2 linked regions of the Stegostoma tigrinum genome follow. The protein of the gene in region 2 purifies or fractionates together with the protein of the main gene of each other region. This does not show direct contact. Links are inferred from orthologs where the notes say so. Each region holds a gene or a part of one and is shown on either strand. Other genes may lie near its edges.

Evidence for each region.
Region 1: the proteins of anapc15 (region 2) and anapc1 purify together in Homo sapiens (affinity purification with mass spectrometry; 3 studies listed by BioGRID and IntAct, with this or other methods). This does not show direct contact. The link is inferred for Stegostoma tigrinum from reciprocal best matches to the Homo sapiens genes ANAPC15 and ANAPC1.

Annotation. Positions count from the first base shown.
Region 1 is NC_081357.1:20,343,968-20,352,061, forward strand, and holds the start of anapc1 (anaphase-promoting complex subunit 1), read left to right. Parts: upstream 1-5,011; 5' UTR 5,012-5,165; intron 5,166-5,707; 5' UTR 5,708-5,731; coding exon 5,732-5,950; intron 5,951-8,094. UniProt on the Homo sapiens protein: Component of the anaphase promoting complex/cyclosome (APC/C), a cell cycle-regulated E3 ubiquitin ligase that controls progression through mitosis and the G1 phase of the cell cycle.
Region 2 is NC_081359.1:110,845,364-110,852,580, reverse strand, and holds the start of anapc15 (anaphase-promoting complex subunit 15), read left to right. Parts: upstream 1-4,200; 5' UTR 4,201-4,316; intron 4,317-4,322; exon of another isoform or gene 4,323-4,625; intron 4,626-4,676; exon of another isoform or gene 4,677-4,823; intron 4,824-7,217. UniProt on the Homo sapiens protein: Component of the anaphase promoting complex/cyclosome (APC/C), a cell cycle-regulated E3 ubiquitin ligase that controls progression through mitosis and the G1 phase of the cell cycle.

The DNA of each region.
Region 1 (8,094 bases), on a different chromosome or scaffold from region 2:
TTCTGTGGCAGGTGGTGAGGGAACCAACAAGGGGGAAAGCATAACTGATCTCATCCTTCCCAATCTGCCAGCTGCAGATGTATCTGTCCATGACAGTATCAGTAGGATTGACCACTGCCCAGTCCTTGTAGAGGTGAAGACCTGCCTTCACATTGAGAATACCTCCATCATGTTGTGTGGCACTATCACCGTATTAAATGGAACATATTTCAAACAGATCTAGCAACTCATGACTGGCCATCCACGATTGTGTGCCATCAACAACACCAGAATGGTACTCCAGCACAGTCTGCAACCCCATGGTCCAGCATATCCCCCATTGTCAAACCAGGGGACCAAACCTGCTTCAATGAGAGCACAGGAGAACATGCCAGGAGCAGCACCAGGCATACCTAAGCCTGAGGTGTCAAGCTAGACACTGATAAACAATTGCACAACCAATGGATCAGATCTAAGCTCTGCAGTCCTGCCACATCCTTTACAATTAACAGGAGGGGGAGGCTCCACGAATATCTCCATCCTCAATGATGGGGGATCTTCACACATCAGCATGAAAGCAAAAGCTGAAATGTTTGTTATTCTGCTTCAGCCAGCAGTGCCAAGTAGATGATCCATTTCAGCCTCTCCTTGAGGTCTCCAGCATCACAAATTGCAGGCTTTAGCCAATTTGCTTAACTCTACATGATCAAAAGAGCGCTGACAATATTACAGCAACACTGCTGAAGTCTGTAACACCAGAACTAGACGGTCTCTGAGCCAAGCTGTTCCAGTACGGCTGCAACACTGGCATCTACCTCGAAATGTGGAATATTGCCCAGCTATGTCCTGCATACAAAATAAAAGAGCAAAACCCAACCCATGCAATTACTGCTCCATCTGTCGACTTGCAATCATTAACAAAATGATGGAGGGTGTCATCCACAGTGCTATCGAGTAGCACTTGCTTAGCAGTAACCTGCTTAGTGATGCTCAGTTTGTGTTACCAATGACCACTCAGCTCCTGACCTGTTTTCAGTCTGAGTTCAAACATGGACCAAAGAGCCGAATTCCAGAGGTGAGGTGAGAGTGACTGCCCTTGATGTTAAGGCTGCATTTAACTGGGGACGGCATCTAAGAATCAGAGTCCTAGGAAAACAGGAATCAATGGAAATAGGGGGAAAACTCTCAGATGGTTGGAGTCATACCTGGAACATAAGAAGATAGCTGTAGTTGTTGGAGGGCAGTTATCTCAGCTCCAGGACATCTCAGCAGGAGTTCCTCAGGGTAGTGTCCATGGCCCAACCATCCACAGCTGCTTCACCAATGGTCTTCCCTCCTTCGTAAGGTCAGAAGTGGGGATGTTTGCCGATGAGTGCACAATGTTCAGCACCATTCACAACTCCTCAGATACTGCAGCAGTCCATGTTCAAATACAGCAAGACCTGGACAGTAGACAGGCTTGGGCTGTTGAGTGGAAAGAAACATTTGGCCCAGACAAGTACCAGGCAATATCCAATCCCAATAAGAGAGAATCCAATCATCTCCCCTTTGACCTTCAATGACATTACCATCACCATCGATATCCCGGGAGCCACCACTGACCAGAAACTGAACTGAACTCACCCTATAGATACTGTGGCCATAAGATCAGGTCAGGGGTTTGGGATTCTGTGGTGGGTGTCTCACTGCTCTGTCTCTTTGGAGATCATAAGGCATTGTACAATAAAAGACAGAAGAAGTGGTAGTGGTTATAACGTAGATAAGACATAGATTCAGTAGGGTTCTTGTTTGTACTCAGTAAGTTGCTGATTTTAGGTGGTTCAAATCACCCCCAGGTCATTAGGTTCTGACACTGGTCTTACTTAGGGAATGTGGAAGGAAGGAGGCATTAGACAGGTGTTTCAGGTCAAAAGAATCTCTGTGTTTATTTAAATATAAAAAAGGTAATTATGCTACAAGAAATATAGGTAAAAGCACTGAACAGTGAAATTAACACTCCCAAGTATACAGAGGACACTAATTAAATACACTATCAAATTAAACACAGACTAAACATTGTTAGAACCTAAACAGCAGTTTTAATCACAGAAATTTTAATCAGGCTTCCTACCCTTGGAGTCCCACACACTGCCACCACCTGCCTTCCCCTCCCTGCTAGCTAGATTGGAAACTTTGGGGTCTCTGGAGTTTAAGTTTGCCACGAAGGAAAATGCAGTTTTGAAGTACAGCTGGCTGTGGAGGTTCTTATTGTCAGTTCCCTTGGTTCAGAACAGGCTCATGTCCGGACGTTCTGCGTTGTCAAAACCATCAGATTTGCATAGAATTGGTTTTTGGTATCTAAGTGCCTGGTTCACATTGATTGGCTAAATTCAAAACTTGTCTTGGTAAAAGGTGCTGCCTGGCCTGCTAACTGTACGGCCTTATGATACAAATGTTTCAATTCGGGTGCTTTCTGTGTATGCGCAAACTTTCAAGCCGCTGCTCACAGGTATCCATTTTAAATCTCTCAGTGCAGCAAAAGCACATAATCTTTTAAAGGGACCACACAATGCTTCCTGTGCCCCCTCCAGCATTTTACAAACACCAAATTCTAACTTCCTACCTCCCAATCTACAAGTGCTCTACCCAACTTCGCAACACTAAGGAACTACTACGTATGCATAATTTCTTCAGTATAAATTAGACCCACAGAGTCTGCGGCAGCTTCAGTTTGCCCAGAATACTGACAGAGCTGAAATAGTGTATAAGGAGAATGCGGGATCTGTTTGACTCATTCAAGTGGGAGCCCATTGCTCTAGCAGAAGATTTGACCTTAGTTGAAGTTTGGAACTGATGTATGTGAGTTACATGGCTAAGCCCTTCTCATGGCTAGAACAAAGAACAAAGAAAATTACAGCACAGGAATAGGCCATTCGGCCCTCCAAACCTGCACCGATCCACATCCTCTATCTAAACCTGTCACCTATTTTCCAAGATAGTAGGAATCGCAGATGCTGGAGAATCTGAGATAACAAGGTGCAGAGCTGGATGAACACAGCAGGCCAAGCAGCATCAGAGGAGCAGGAGGATCTGATGCTACTTGGCCTGCTGTGTTCATCCAGCTCTACACCTTGTTATCTTACCTATTTTCCAAGGATCTGTATCCCTCTGCTCCCTGCCCATTCATGTATCTGTCTAGATACATCTTAAATGAAGCTATCATGCCCGCCTCTACCACCTCCGCTGGCAATGTATTCCAGGCACCCAACACCCTCTGCGTAAAGAACTTGCCACACATATCTCCCTTAAACTTTTCCTCTCACACCTTGAAATCGTGACCCTCCAGTAATTGAGTCCCCCACTCTGGGAAAAATCTTCTTGCTATCCACCCTGTATGTACCTCTCCTGATTTTGTAGACCTCACTCAGGTCCCCCCTCAAACTCTGTCTTGCATGTAAATAATCCGAATCTACTCAACCTCTCTTCATAGCTAGTGCCCTCCATAGCAGGCAACATCCTGGTGAACCTCCTCTGCACCGTCTCCAAAGCATCCACATCCTTTTGGTAATGTGGCGACCAGAACTGTACGCAATATTCCAAATGTGGTCAAACCAAAGTCCTACACAACTGTAACATGACCTGTCAATTCTTGTACTCAATACCCTGTCCGATGAATGAAAGCATGCCGTCTGCCTTCTTGACCACTCTATTCACCTGTTTCGCCACCTTCAAGGTACAATGGCCCTGGACACCCAGATCTCTCTGTTCATCAATTTTCCCCAGGGCTTTTCCATTTACTGTGTAGTTCGCTCAAACTATGGCAACTATTAGACTAAGACAACACTTTCTTGATTGGGCATGGTATCATTTCAATTGCTCCATGCAGCATCCTATGAAAAATCAAACTAATTCTTGTTGTAGCCTATTAGATTTAGATTTAGCCTATCAGACATCACAAAATCAGATAATAGTCTACAGTTCACTCCAGAAGAATGGATGAAGTGTGGGCATATTAGGCTTTCTAGCTGTGATACATTTGACACAAAAGAGAGATTGAAGGGAAAAGTCCTGCGGAGACAAAGGACTGTGCTTTAAAGACAAGAAAATGTGAGGCTGGTTGAACACAGCAGGCCAAGCAGCATCTCAGGAGCACAAAAGCTGACGTTTCGGGCCTAGACCCTTCATCAGAGAGGGGGATGGGGAGAGGGAACTGGAATAAATAGGGAGAGAGGGGGAGGCGGACCAAAGATGGAGAGTAAAGAAGATAGGTGGAGAGAGTATAGGTGGGGAGGTAGGGAGGGGATAGGTCAGTCCAGGGAAGACGGACAGGTCAAGGAGGTGGGATGAGGTTAGTAGGTAGATGGGGGTGTGGCTTGGGGTGGGAGGAAGGGATGGGTGAGAGGAAGAACCGGTTAGGGAGGCAGAGACAGGTTGGACTGGTATTGGGATGCAGTGGGTGGGGGGGAAGAGCTGGGCTGGTTGTGTGGTGCAGTGGGGGGAGGGGACGAACTGGGCTGGTTGAGGGATGCAGTAGGGGAAGGGGAGATTTTGAAACTGGTGAAGTCCACATTGATACCATTAGGCTGCAGGGTTCCCAGGCAGAATATGAGTTGCTGTTCCTGCAACCTTCGGGTGGCATCATTGTGGCAGTGCAGGAGGCCCATGATGGACATGTCATCTAAAGAATGGGAGGGGGAGTGGAAATGGTTTGCGACTGGGAGGTGCAGTTGTTTGTTGCGAACTGAGCGGAGGTGTTCTGCAAAGCGGTCTCCAAGCCTCCGCTTGGTTTCCCCAATGCAGAGAAGCCACACCGGGTACAGTGGATGCAGTATACCACATTGGCAGATGTGCAGGTGAACCTCTGCTTGATGTGGATTCCACATCTGCAGTTCCCATTATCACTGTGCTTTAAAGATTGCTTTAGGCCAGATGTACCAACCTCTCAGAGAAACTGGAGATGGAGCAGGTACATTTCGCCAGGCCCCCGGGAGATGGCGCTCTGTCACCAGGCTCGAATGCGCTGGCGCGTATTCAGCGCAGTGACTGATGGGAGTTCAAGATGGCGACGCCCATCTGATTCTTCAAATCGGAGTTTAAGTGAATTTTGCTTTTGGCGCGGATTCGGAGCAAAAACCAAATCCCCGGATTTTGGAGGCGGATGGTCGCAGAGAAACCGTCATTAGAAGTTTCACTCGTTATTTTAACAGGTCGGTTCGGTCGTCTTTTATTAATAATAATGACCTGAAATATTCTCATCATTCCCCGATTTCCTTCTTTACCCCAGTGACCCCCTTCACCCGGTTGTACCCCCCCGCCCCACACCCTCCCACGCCCCACCCTACGCCAAATATCCCACCCCACCCCACCCCAACCCAATGTCTCTTCCTCCATTGCTCCCACCTCACCTGACTCCCCCTTTGCCCCACACTCTCCCCATCTCCTGCTCCACTCCCATATCTCCTCCACAACCTGAAATCTCTCACTTCTCGTTATCTCCTTTGGCTCCCCTTCTTCTGCATCAAGAGTTGAGTTATTTTGTTCTGAAGAAGTGTCAATGGACTCAATGTTAGTTCTGTTTCTCTGCTCACAGATCTTGCCAGACTTGCTGAGTTTCTCCTGCACTTAGTGTTTGTTTCAGATCTCCAGCGACTTCAGTTCTTTGATTTATTTTATTTGAGTTACATTGCTGTCTGCACAGCACTTGCTTTGAATTTTAGTTTTTCTTAAGTCGTTGCTTTTCTTCAAGCAGAAATAATGCTGATATCTGGAACCCATGTCGAACGTCTGTGAAGAGAGGGTAACAATGATTGCAGCAGGGGAAATGCAGGAGTTTGTTCCGTTCGGCCGTGACCACTGCAGGCGCCACCCTAATGCCACAAATCTTCAGCTTCGGCAGCTGCAGCCTGCTTCAGAACTGTGGTCCTCTGATGGTGACGCAGGATTGGTGGGATCACTGAGAGAAGTTACAATCCATGAGAAACAGAAGGTGCAGGTTTGAAACTCTCATCTGAAATTATCAGTAACCTCTAAAATGAAGAGCTGACATGTTCTGCAGTAGGTTGCCAAAGACTTTATAATAAAGATTTTGAATTTTCCAAGTTACAGTTGAACTTGTACACATGGATTTTGGGGAATCATCAAAAGGATATTGGGTGGGAAAATGACTAGTAATAGAAATAAATTCTACTTATATTGCCTCTTTCACAACTTCAGTCCCCTGCATCATTGTACACCCAATGTCATCTTGCTCTATAGGAATTATTGCATCCAGTGTACAAACAAGATTTCATAAACATGGTCAGGTAATCGTAGAAGTTCGTAGAATCCCTACAGTGTTGAAACAGGCCCTTCGGCCCAACAAGTCCACACCGACCCTCGGGTCACCCGTCCAAATCCATCCCTCTATAACCCACCTAATCTGCACATCCCTGAACACTATGGGCATTTAGCATAGCCAATCCATCTAGCCTGCAAATCTTTGGACTGTGGGAGGAAACCGGAGCACCCGGAGGAAACCCACGCAGACACTGGGAGAATGTGCAAACTCCACACAGACGGTTACCCGAGGCTGGAATTGAACCCGGGTCCCTGGTGCTGTGAGGCAGCACTGCTAACCACCGTGTCACCCTTAAGAATGGCTGGTTTAGCAACATTGGCTGAGGGATAAATGTTGGCCAGGAAATTCGTGAGAACTGTCCTGCTCCTCTCAGAAGAGTCACAGGGTCTTTTGTGTGCGCACCTGAGAGAGTGCTTTGGCTTAACAGCTCATCGGACCACTCAGACCCTGGATTCCAGCATTTCCTCAGTGCTGTGCTGAAGTGCCATCAACAATTTGTGCACACCTTGCTGGAGTGGACTTGAATTCTCAACCTTCTGACTCAGAATGTGCCAGTACTATTCCACGGCTGAAGTGCATCTGAGGCTTCAGTGCCCCAAGAATAATAGATAATAACACAAAAATAGGTGGAAAGGCAAGTTTCAGGAGACACTCAGACATTTTACAAAAAGATAGTTATACATGAAGTGGACAAGGAAATTGTAATACTTGTGCACACAATGCACAAAGCTAGCACCAGGTGCAGCGGGGTAATCAGGAAGGGAAATGGAATGTTGGCCCTTATTTCAAAAGGATTGGGATATGAGAGTAGGGAAGTCTTTTTTGCAGCTGAACAAGGTGCTGATGAGACCCCAACTGGAGTACTGAGAGCAGTTTTGGTTCCCTTATTTAAGAGATACCATTTCATTGGAGGAATTTGCGAAGGTTCACAGGGATGACCCCCAGCACAGAGGAATTGTCTTATTAGCAAAGATCAAACAGGTTGGGACTCTACTCACTGGAGTTTAGAAAAATGAGAGAAGATCACGTTGAAATCAATATGAATTTTTCAGCGCTTGGCAGGGTAAATGCTGAGAGGGTGTTTCCTCTCATTGGAGAGCCTCAGACCAGTAGGCATAGTCGACTTAAGACTGAGCTGAGGAGGAATTTCTTCTCTGAGAGGGTTGAGTGTCTTTGGAGTGCCACAGAGAGCTGTGAGGGCAGAGTCTTTGTGCATATTTAAGGCTGAGATAGGTTGTTAATTAGTTGGGCAATCCAGGGTTACAGGAAAATGGAAGTGAGGCATGTTGAATCAGCCACAATTCTGTTGAATGGCATAGCAGATTTGAGGGGCTGAATGGCCTACTTCTGAGGGGAGAATATAAAAGAAGTTCAGAATTTTGAAAACATATCCAAGAGTTGACCACATTTTGCCCTGATACATTTAACCTCGGGTGGGTGACTGTCTGTCTGGAGTTTGCACGTTCTCCCTGTGTCTGTTTGGGTTCCTTTGGGTGCTCCAGTTTTGCCCCACAGTCCAAAGATGTGCTGGTTTAAGTGGATTTGCCATGCTAAACTGCCCTGTACTGCCCAGGGGTGCGTAGCCGAAGTGGATTAGCCATGGGAAATGCAGGGTTAGGGTGGAGGGTGGGTTGTGGTAGGATGCTCTTTGGAGGGTTGCTGTGAGCTTGATGGGCTGAGTGGCCTTCATCCATGCTGTATGGATTCCATGATTCTTCTTGCTGCTGCACAGTGCAAGTGGCAACAGGCCAAATGTCTCACCTTGGCCCCCTTCGTATTTTACATCTACATGCAACTCC
Region 2 (7,217 bases):
CAGCACCGACCCTCTGACAGTGCAGCGCTCCCTCAGCACTGACCCTCCAACAGTGCCCACTCACTCAGCATTGACCCTCCGACAGTGCCCACTCACTCAGCACTGACCCTCCGACAGTGCGGTGCTCCCTCAGCACTGACCCTCCGACAGTGCGGCGCTCCCTCAGCACAGACCCTCTGACTGTTCCCACTCCCTCAGCACTGACCCTCCGACAGTGCGGCACCCCCTCAGCACTGACCCTCTGACTGTTCCCACTCCCTCAGCACTGACCCTCTGACTGTTCCCACTCCCTCAGCACTGACCCTCCAACAGTGCGACACTCCCTCAGCACCGACCCTCTGACAGTGCAGCGCTCCCTAAGTACTGACCCTCCGACAGTGCGACACTCCCTCAGCACTGACCCTCCAACTGTGCCCACTCACTCAGCATTGACCCTCCGACAGTGCCCACTCACTCAGCACTGACCCTCCGACATTGCCCACACCCTCAGCACTGACCCTCCGACAATGCGGTGCTCCCTCAGCACTGACCCTCCAACAGTGCGACACTCCCTCAGCACTGACCGTCCAACAGTGCGACACTCCCTCAGCACCGACCATCTGACAGTGCAGCGCTCCCTAAGTACTGACCCTCCAACAGTGCGACACTCCCTCAGCACTGACCCTTCAACAGTGCCCACTCCCTCAGCACTGACCCTCCGACAGTGCCCACTCACTCAGCACTGACCCTCCGACAGTGTGGCGCTCCCTCAGCACTGACCCTCCGACATTGCCCACTCCCTCAGCACTGACATTCCGACAATGCGGTGCTCCCTCAGCATTGACCCTCCGACAGTGCGGTCCTCCCTCAGCACTGACCCTCCGACAGTGTGGCGCTCCCTCAGCACTGACCCTCCGACAGTGCGGCGCTCCCTCAGCACTGACCCTCTGACAGTGCCCACTCCCTCAGCACTGACCCTCCGACAGTGCGACACTCCCTCAGCACTGACCCTCCAACAGTGCGACACTCCCTCAGCACCGACCCTCTGACAGTGCCCACTCACTCAGCATTGACCCTCCGACAGTGCCCACTCACTCAGCACTGACCCTCCGACAGTGCGGCGCTCCCTCAGCACTGACCCTCCGACAGTGCCCACTCCCTCAGCACTGACCCTTCGACAGTGCAGCGCTCCCTCAGTACTGACCCTCCGACAGTGCGGCGCTCCCTCAGCACTGACCCTCCGACAGTGCCCACTCACTCAGCACTGACCCTCCGACAGTGCGGCGCTCCCTCAGCACTGACCCTCTGACAGTGCCCACTTCCTCAGCACTGACCCTCCGACAGTGCAGCGCTCCCTCAGTACTGACCCTCCGACAGTGCAGCGCTCCCTCAGCACTGACCCTCCAACAGTGCCTACTCCCTCAGCACTGACCCTCCGACAGTGCCCGCTCCCTCAGCACTGACCCTCCAACAGTGCGGCACTCCCTCAGCACTGACCCTCCGACAGTGCGGTGCTCCCTCAGGTCTGACCCTCCGACAGTGCGGCGCTCCCTCAGCACTGACCCTCCGACAGTGCGGTGCTCCCTCAGCACTGACCCTCCAACAGTGCGGTGCTCCCTCTGCATTGACCCTCTTACAGTGCAGTGCTTCCTCAACATTGCTTTGGATTATCAGTCTGGATTTTACGCTCGTGTCAGTGCATGGGTGACTGTTCTTATGATGTCAGTTTGGGAGTGTTCCATACTGATCCAGTTGACAGCTGCATCACAGGATGATGAATGGGCAGATCGTTCACTATAACGCAGACGTGATTGCTCCTCGAAAACCTCACCTGAGATTACTGTGTCCCACTGGATGGAGAGTAGGGTGGACATGAGGCACTAGCTGCTTATTTCTGCTTTATCAAGAAGCATTCATGATCCAGATGGTCCCTGCTGAAGCACTGTAACTAATCAACAGAAGTTATCAAAATTAAAAATGACGTATCACAGCCCCGTGATGCCCACTGGTCCCTAAAGTCTTTTATTGTGTCAGGAGACACTCCAGGTTCTCTCTCTCGGAACACTCCGATGCAGATGTAAACACAGAAGAGGGGCAGATACTCAAGTGCTCACTGCCTGGTCTTGCCCATCTCGTCCTTAGCTGGGCCCATGAGGAGGTCCTCCAATCTGCACCACCATTCCGCCACCTCACCCAACAAACTCTCTGTACGGCCTGCCCATATGACAGTGATTGAGCGCATACAAAAATTTAAATCAGCTCCTTAACAAAACTAAACAGGCACTGGAAATGAAAACATTCAACGTAAATGAAAGCAATTGTTTCTTCAAGGCAACAAAAGTTTCTGGCTTCTCAGGTGCTTGCGAGTTTCTTTTTGCTTGGTTTGTTTCCTAACGAAGTTTTACAACACTCTGGTGAGTAAAGGGCATGACCAGAGACCATCACAAAATCATGATTTGAAATTCCACGAGTAAGAAGCTTATTGATTAATGAACATGTCTTTTCTGGGCAAGAACAGATCATGGGGAATGAAGGGGAGGGAGTGCTTCGGGGTGGGGGTAGGCTTAAGGACGAAGGGTGATTTAGAAGTGGGGGGTAAGGAGTCGAGGGAGTGAGGAAGAGAAATGAGTTGAATGAGTCGAGTGAGGAGTGGAGAGAGTGAGCAGGATTGAAGAGGAGAATAAGGGGTGGACTAGGTGAAGAAGAGTGAAAGAGGGAGTGAGGAGGAGTGGAAGGAATGAGGAAGAGTAAAGAGAGAAATGAGGAAAGGAGGAAGTGAGGAGTGAATAGGAGGAGGCATGAAGAGATGGAGTGAGGAGGAATGGAAGGAGTGAGGAGTGGAGGGAGTGAGGAGTGAAAAGGAGGGCAATGGAGTGAAGAGGAGTGGAGGGAGTGAAGGAGTGAGGAGTGAAAAGGAGTGAGATGGAGTGAAGAGAGGGCATGAAGAGGAGTGGAGGGACTGAGGATGAGTGAAAGATGGAGTGGAGGAGTGGAAGGAGTGAGGAGTGAAAAGGAGTGAGATGGAGTGAAGCAAGGGAATGAGGAGGAGTGGAGGGAGTGAGGAGTGGAGGAAATGAGGAAGAATGAAAGATGGAGTGAGGAGGAGTGGAAGGAGTGAGATGGAGTGAAGCGAAGGAATGAGGAGGAGTGGAGGGAGTCAGGAAGAATGAAAGATGGAATGAAGAGGAGTGAGGAGTGAAAAGGAGTGCGATGGAGTGAAGTGAGGGAATGAGGAGTGGAGGGAGTGAGGAGGAGTGAAAGATGGAGTGAAGCGAGGGAGTGATGAGGAGTGAAGCGAGGGAATGAAGAGGAGGAGTGAAAGATGGAGTGAAGCGAGGGAACGAGGAGGAGGAGGAGTGAAAGGTGGAGTGAAGCGAGGGAATGAGGAGGAGCGAAAGATGGAGTGAAGCGAGGGAGTGAGGAGGAGTGAGGTGCGAAAGATGGAGTGAAGCGAGGGAGTGAGGAAGAGTGAGGAGCGAAAGATGGAGTGAAGCGAGGGAGTGAGGAGGAGGAGGAGTGAAAGATGGAGTGAAGCGAGGGAGTGAGGAGGAGTGAGGTGCGAAAGATGGAGTGAAGCGAGGGAGTGAGGAGGAGGAGGAGTGAAAGATGGAGTGAAGCGAGGGAGTGAGGAGGAGGAGGAGTGAAAGGTGGAGTGAAGCGAGGGAGTGAGGAGGAGGAGGAGCGAAAGATGGAGTGAAGCGAGGGAGTGAGGAGGAGGAGGAGTGAAAGATGGAGTGAAGCGAGGGAGTGAGGAGGAGTGAGGTGCGAAAGATGGAGTGAAGCGAGGGAGTGAGGAGGAGGAGGAGTGAAAGATGGAGTGAAGCGAGGGAGTGAGGAGGAGGAGGAGTGAAAGGTGGAGTGAAGCGAGGGAGTGAGGAGGAGTGAGGTGCGAAAGATGGAGTGAAGCGAGGGAGTGAGGAGGAGTGAGGTGCGAAAGATGGAGTGAAGCGAGGGAGTGAGGAGGAGGAGGAGTGAAAGATGGAGTGAAGCGAGGGAGTGAGGAGGAGGAGTGGAGGGATAATGAAGAAAGAACGAGGAGAGAATGGAAAAGGTGGCCTAGGATAGAGGGGGTGTTAGTGGAGAGTTGTTGAGGATTGGGATGAGGGGGCTGAGGTATACCATTTGTTGGGGGGAGGGCAGGGAAGTGGAGGTGGGGAACATATTTATCCCTGCTGCAAACTCTTGGTTCCGCAAAGAGCTTACACCCACCCGGACCCGGGAAACGCTGCACACAACCATCGGAACCGGAAGTGAGCTTTTCGCCGCCGCGCTGTGTCACCGCGCCAGCCTGCGGGGGAGGGCGTTCGGCGGCGGAACCGCTTCCGGCGGTCACAAAGGTAGGCGGCAGTGAAAGCCGGTGGCGGACACCGGGGCCTGGGTCGGGCCTTACCGGCCCCAGACGAGCGGGACGGGGAGATCGGCCGGACCCGGTTGGCCCAGCTAGACCCGCCCTCTCCGGGACTAGCCCCGCCCCCTCCAGGACCAGCCCCACCCTTATACCCAGACCCCGCCTCCTCCCACTGCAGCCCCCGCCTCCGCTGCCTCTCCCTGCTAGCCCGAGCCTGATGGGCTGAAGGGTCTCCTTCCTGTACTGTATGCCCTTTAGATTTAGGTAGGGTTGCTGTTCCTCACCACTGTTGCTGTAGGTAAGTGCCCAAGAAGCCATTCAGCCCCTCTGAATCCTTCAGGACCACAGCAATGTGTTGGATCTGTGACTGATCTCCTGTGTCTCATTTCCCTGAAGTTATTTACTTGAGTAAAAAGCATCAGAGTCACATTTTGATCTGTAACAATTCCATTTGGTGGACGGAATTGCTTTTGGCTTTAATCTATTTTTTGAAGAAGTGAGTTTTCCCTTAAATTCTCAAGCTATAGCTATATTTTCAGTGGTGAGTGGGGTTCCACAGGGCCCTGTCCTTGGGCCTCTACTGCTTGTAATTTTTATTAATGACTTGGATGAGGGGATTGAAGGATGGGTCAGCAAGTTTGCAGACGACACAAAGGTCGGAGGTGTCATTGACAGTGTAGAGGGCCGTTGTAGGCTGCAGCGGGACATTGACAGGATGCAGAGACGGGCTGAGAGGTGGCAGATGGAGTTCAACCTGGATAAATGCGAGGTGATGCATTTTGGAAGGTCGAATTTGAAAGCTGAGTACAGGATTAAGGATAGGATTCTTGGAAGTGTGGAGGAACAGAGGGATCTTGGTGTGCAGATACATAGATCCCTTAAAATGGCCACCCAAGTGGACAGGGTTGTTAAGAAAGCATATGGTGTTTTGGCTTTCATTAACAGGGGGATTGAGTTTAAGAGTCGTGAGATCTTGTTGCAGCTCTATAAAACTTTGCTTAGACCGCACTTGGAATACTGCGTCCAGTTCTGGGCGCCCTATTATAGGAAAGATGTGGATGCTTTGGAGAGGGTTCAGAGGAGGTTTACCAGGATGCTGCCTGGACTGGAGGGCTTATCTTATGAAGAGAGGTTGACTGAGCTCGGTCTCTTTTCATTGGAGAAAAGGAGGAGGAGAGGGGACCTAATTGAGGTATACAAGATAATGAGAGGCATAGATAGAGTTGATAGCCAGAGACTATTTCCCAGGGCAGAAATGGCTAGCACGAGGGGTCATAGTTTTAAGCTGGTTGGAGGAAAGTATAGAGGGGATGTCAGAGGCGGGTTCTTTACGCAGAGAGTTGTGAGAGCATGGAATGCGTTGCCAGCAGCAGTTGTGGAAGCAAGGTCATTGGGGACATTTAAGAGACTGCTGGACATGTATATGGTCACAGAAATTTGAGGGTGCATACATGAGGATCAATGGTCGGCACAACATTGTGGGCTGAAGGGCCTGTTCTGTGCTGTACTGTTCTATGTTCTTTTCTATGTTCTATAGGGGCAGAACTAGGCCATTTGGTCCATCTAACTCTGTTCTGCTGTTTGATCATGGCTGATAATCCTCACCCCTATTTTCTTGCCTTCTCCCCACAATCCTTCAGCCCATTACCAATTAAAAATCTGTGTAACTCCTCCATATATTCACTCACTGTCCCAGCATCCACCTTACTTTGGAGTAGCCAATTCCACAGATTCACAACCCTTTGGGAGAAGCAGTTTCTCCTCAACTTTGTTTTAGATTTGCTACCCCTCATCTTAGAATGCCCCCACAAAAGGAAGAATCTGCTTCACATCTATTTTATCCACACCTTGTATCATCTCGAATACCTCAATTTGATCTCCCCTCATTCTTCTAAATTCTGGAATGTATAGGCCTAAACTCTTCATAAACTCTCGCTTCATATCCCTAAATCCCTCAGCTCTAGGATCAATCCAGTGAACCTCTTCTGAACTGCCTCCAATGCTATTACATCTTTCCTCAAATAAGGGACCAAAACTGTGCACAATACACAGGTGTGGTCTCACCAATGCCTTGCATAGTGTGTTTTGAGAAGATTTGTAGCTCAGGTTGAGGTTCTGGATGTGAGTTTGCTCGCTGAGCTGAAAGGTTCGTTTTCAGACGTTTCGTCACCATTCTAGGTAACATCAGATATTACCTAGAATGGTGACGAAACGTCTGAAAACTAACCTTCCAGCTCAGCGAGCAAACTCACATCCAGAGCCTTGCATAGTCGTAATGATGCTTCTTTACCTTTGTATTCCATTCCATTACCTATAAAAGCCAACATTCCACTTGTTATCTTTATTATCTGCTGTGCCTGCATGCTAGCTTTTTGTGACTCATGAAATGTGTCATTTTTACAACATATCTGTGAAAACTTGGCAACTGCTTCGCAGAACATCTCGCAAAAACATGCTCGCAAAAAAGACTTTGAACTACCTGTTGCCTGCCACTTCAATACACCACCTTGCTCCCTGGCCAACATCTCTGTCTCTGGCTTGCTGCCGTGTTCCAGTGAAATCCAACGGAAGCTGGAAGAACAACACCTAAATTTCCGCTTGGGGACCCTATGGCCCTCCGGACTCAATATTGAGTTCAATAATTTTAAGGCCTAGACTCTCCCATGTCCCAGCGCCCCCCCACCCCACACACCAGGCCTTGTTACCACATAGCCTGCCATTTACACACCCCCTGTTGTTAGTCACTAAAAGTCCCCATTAACAGCTATTCACCCTCTTGTCTAGGGCTTTTTTCATTTGAGCGAAGAAAGATGAGAGGTGACTCGATAGAGCTGATGATGAGAGACAAAACAATGAGAGGCATAGATAGAGTGTATAGTTAGAGACTTTT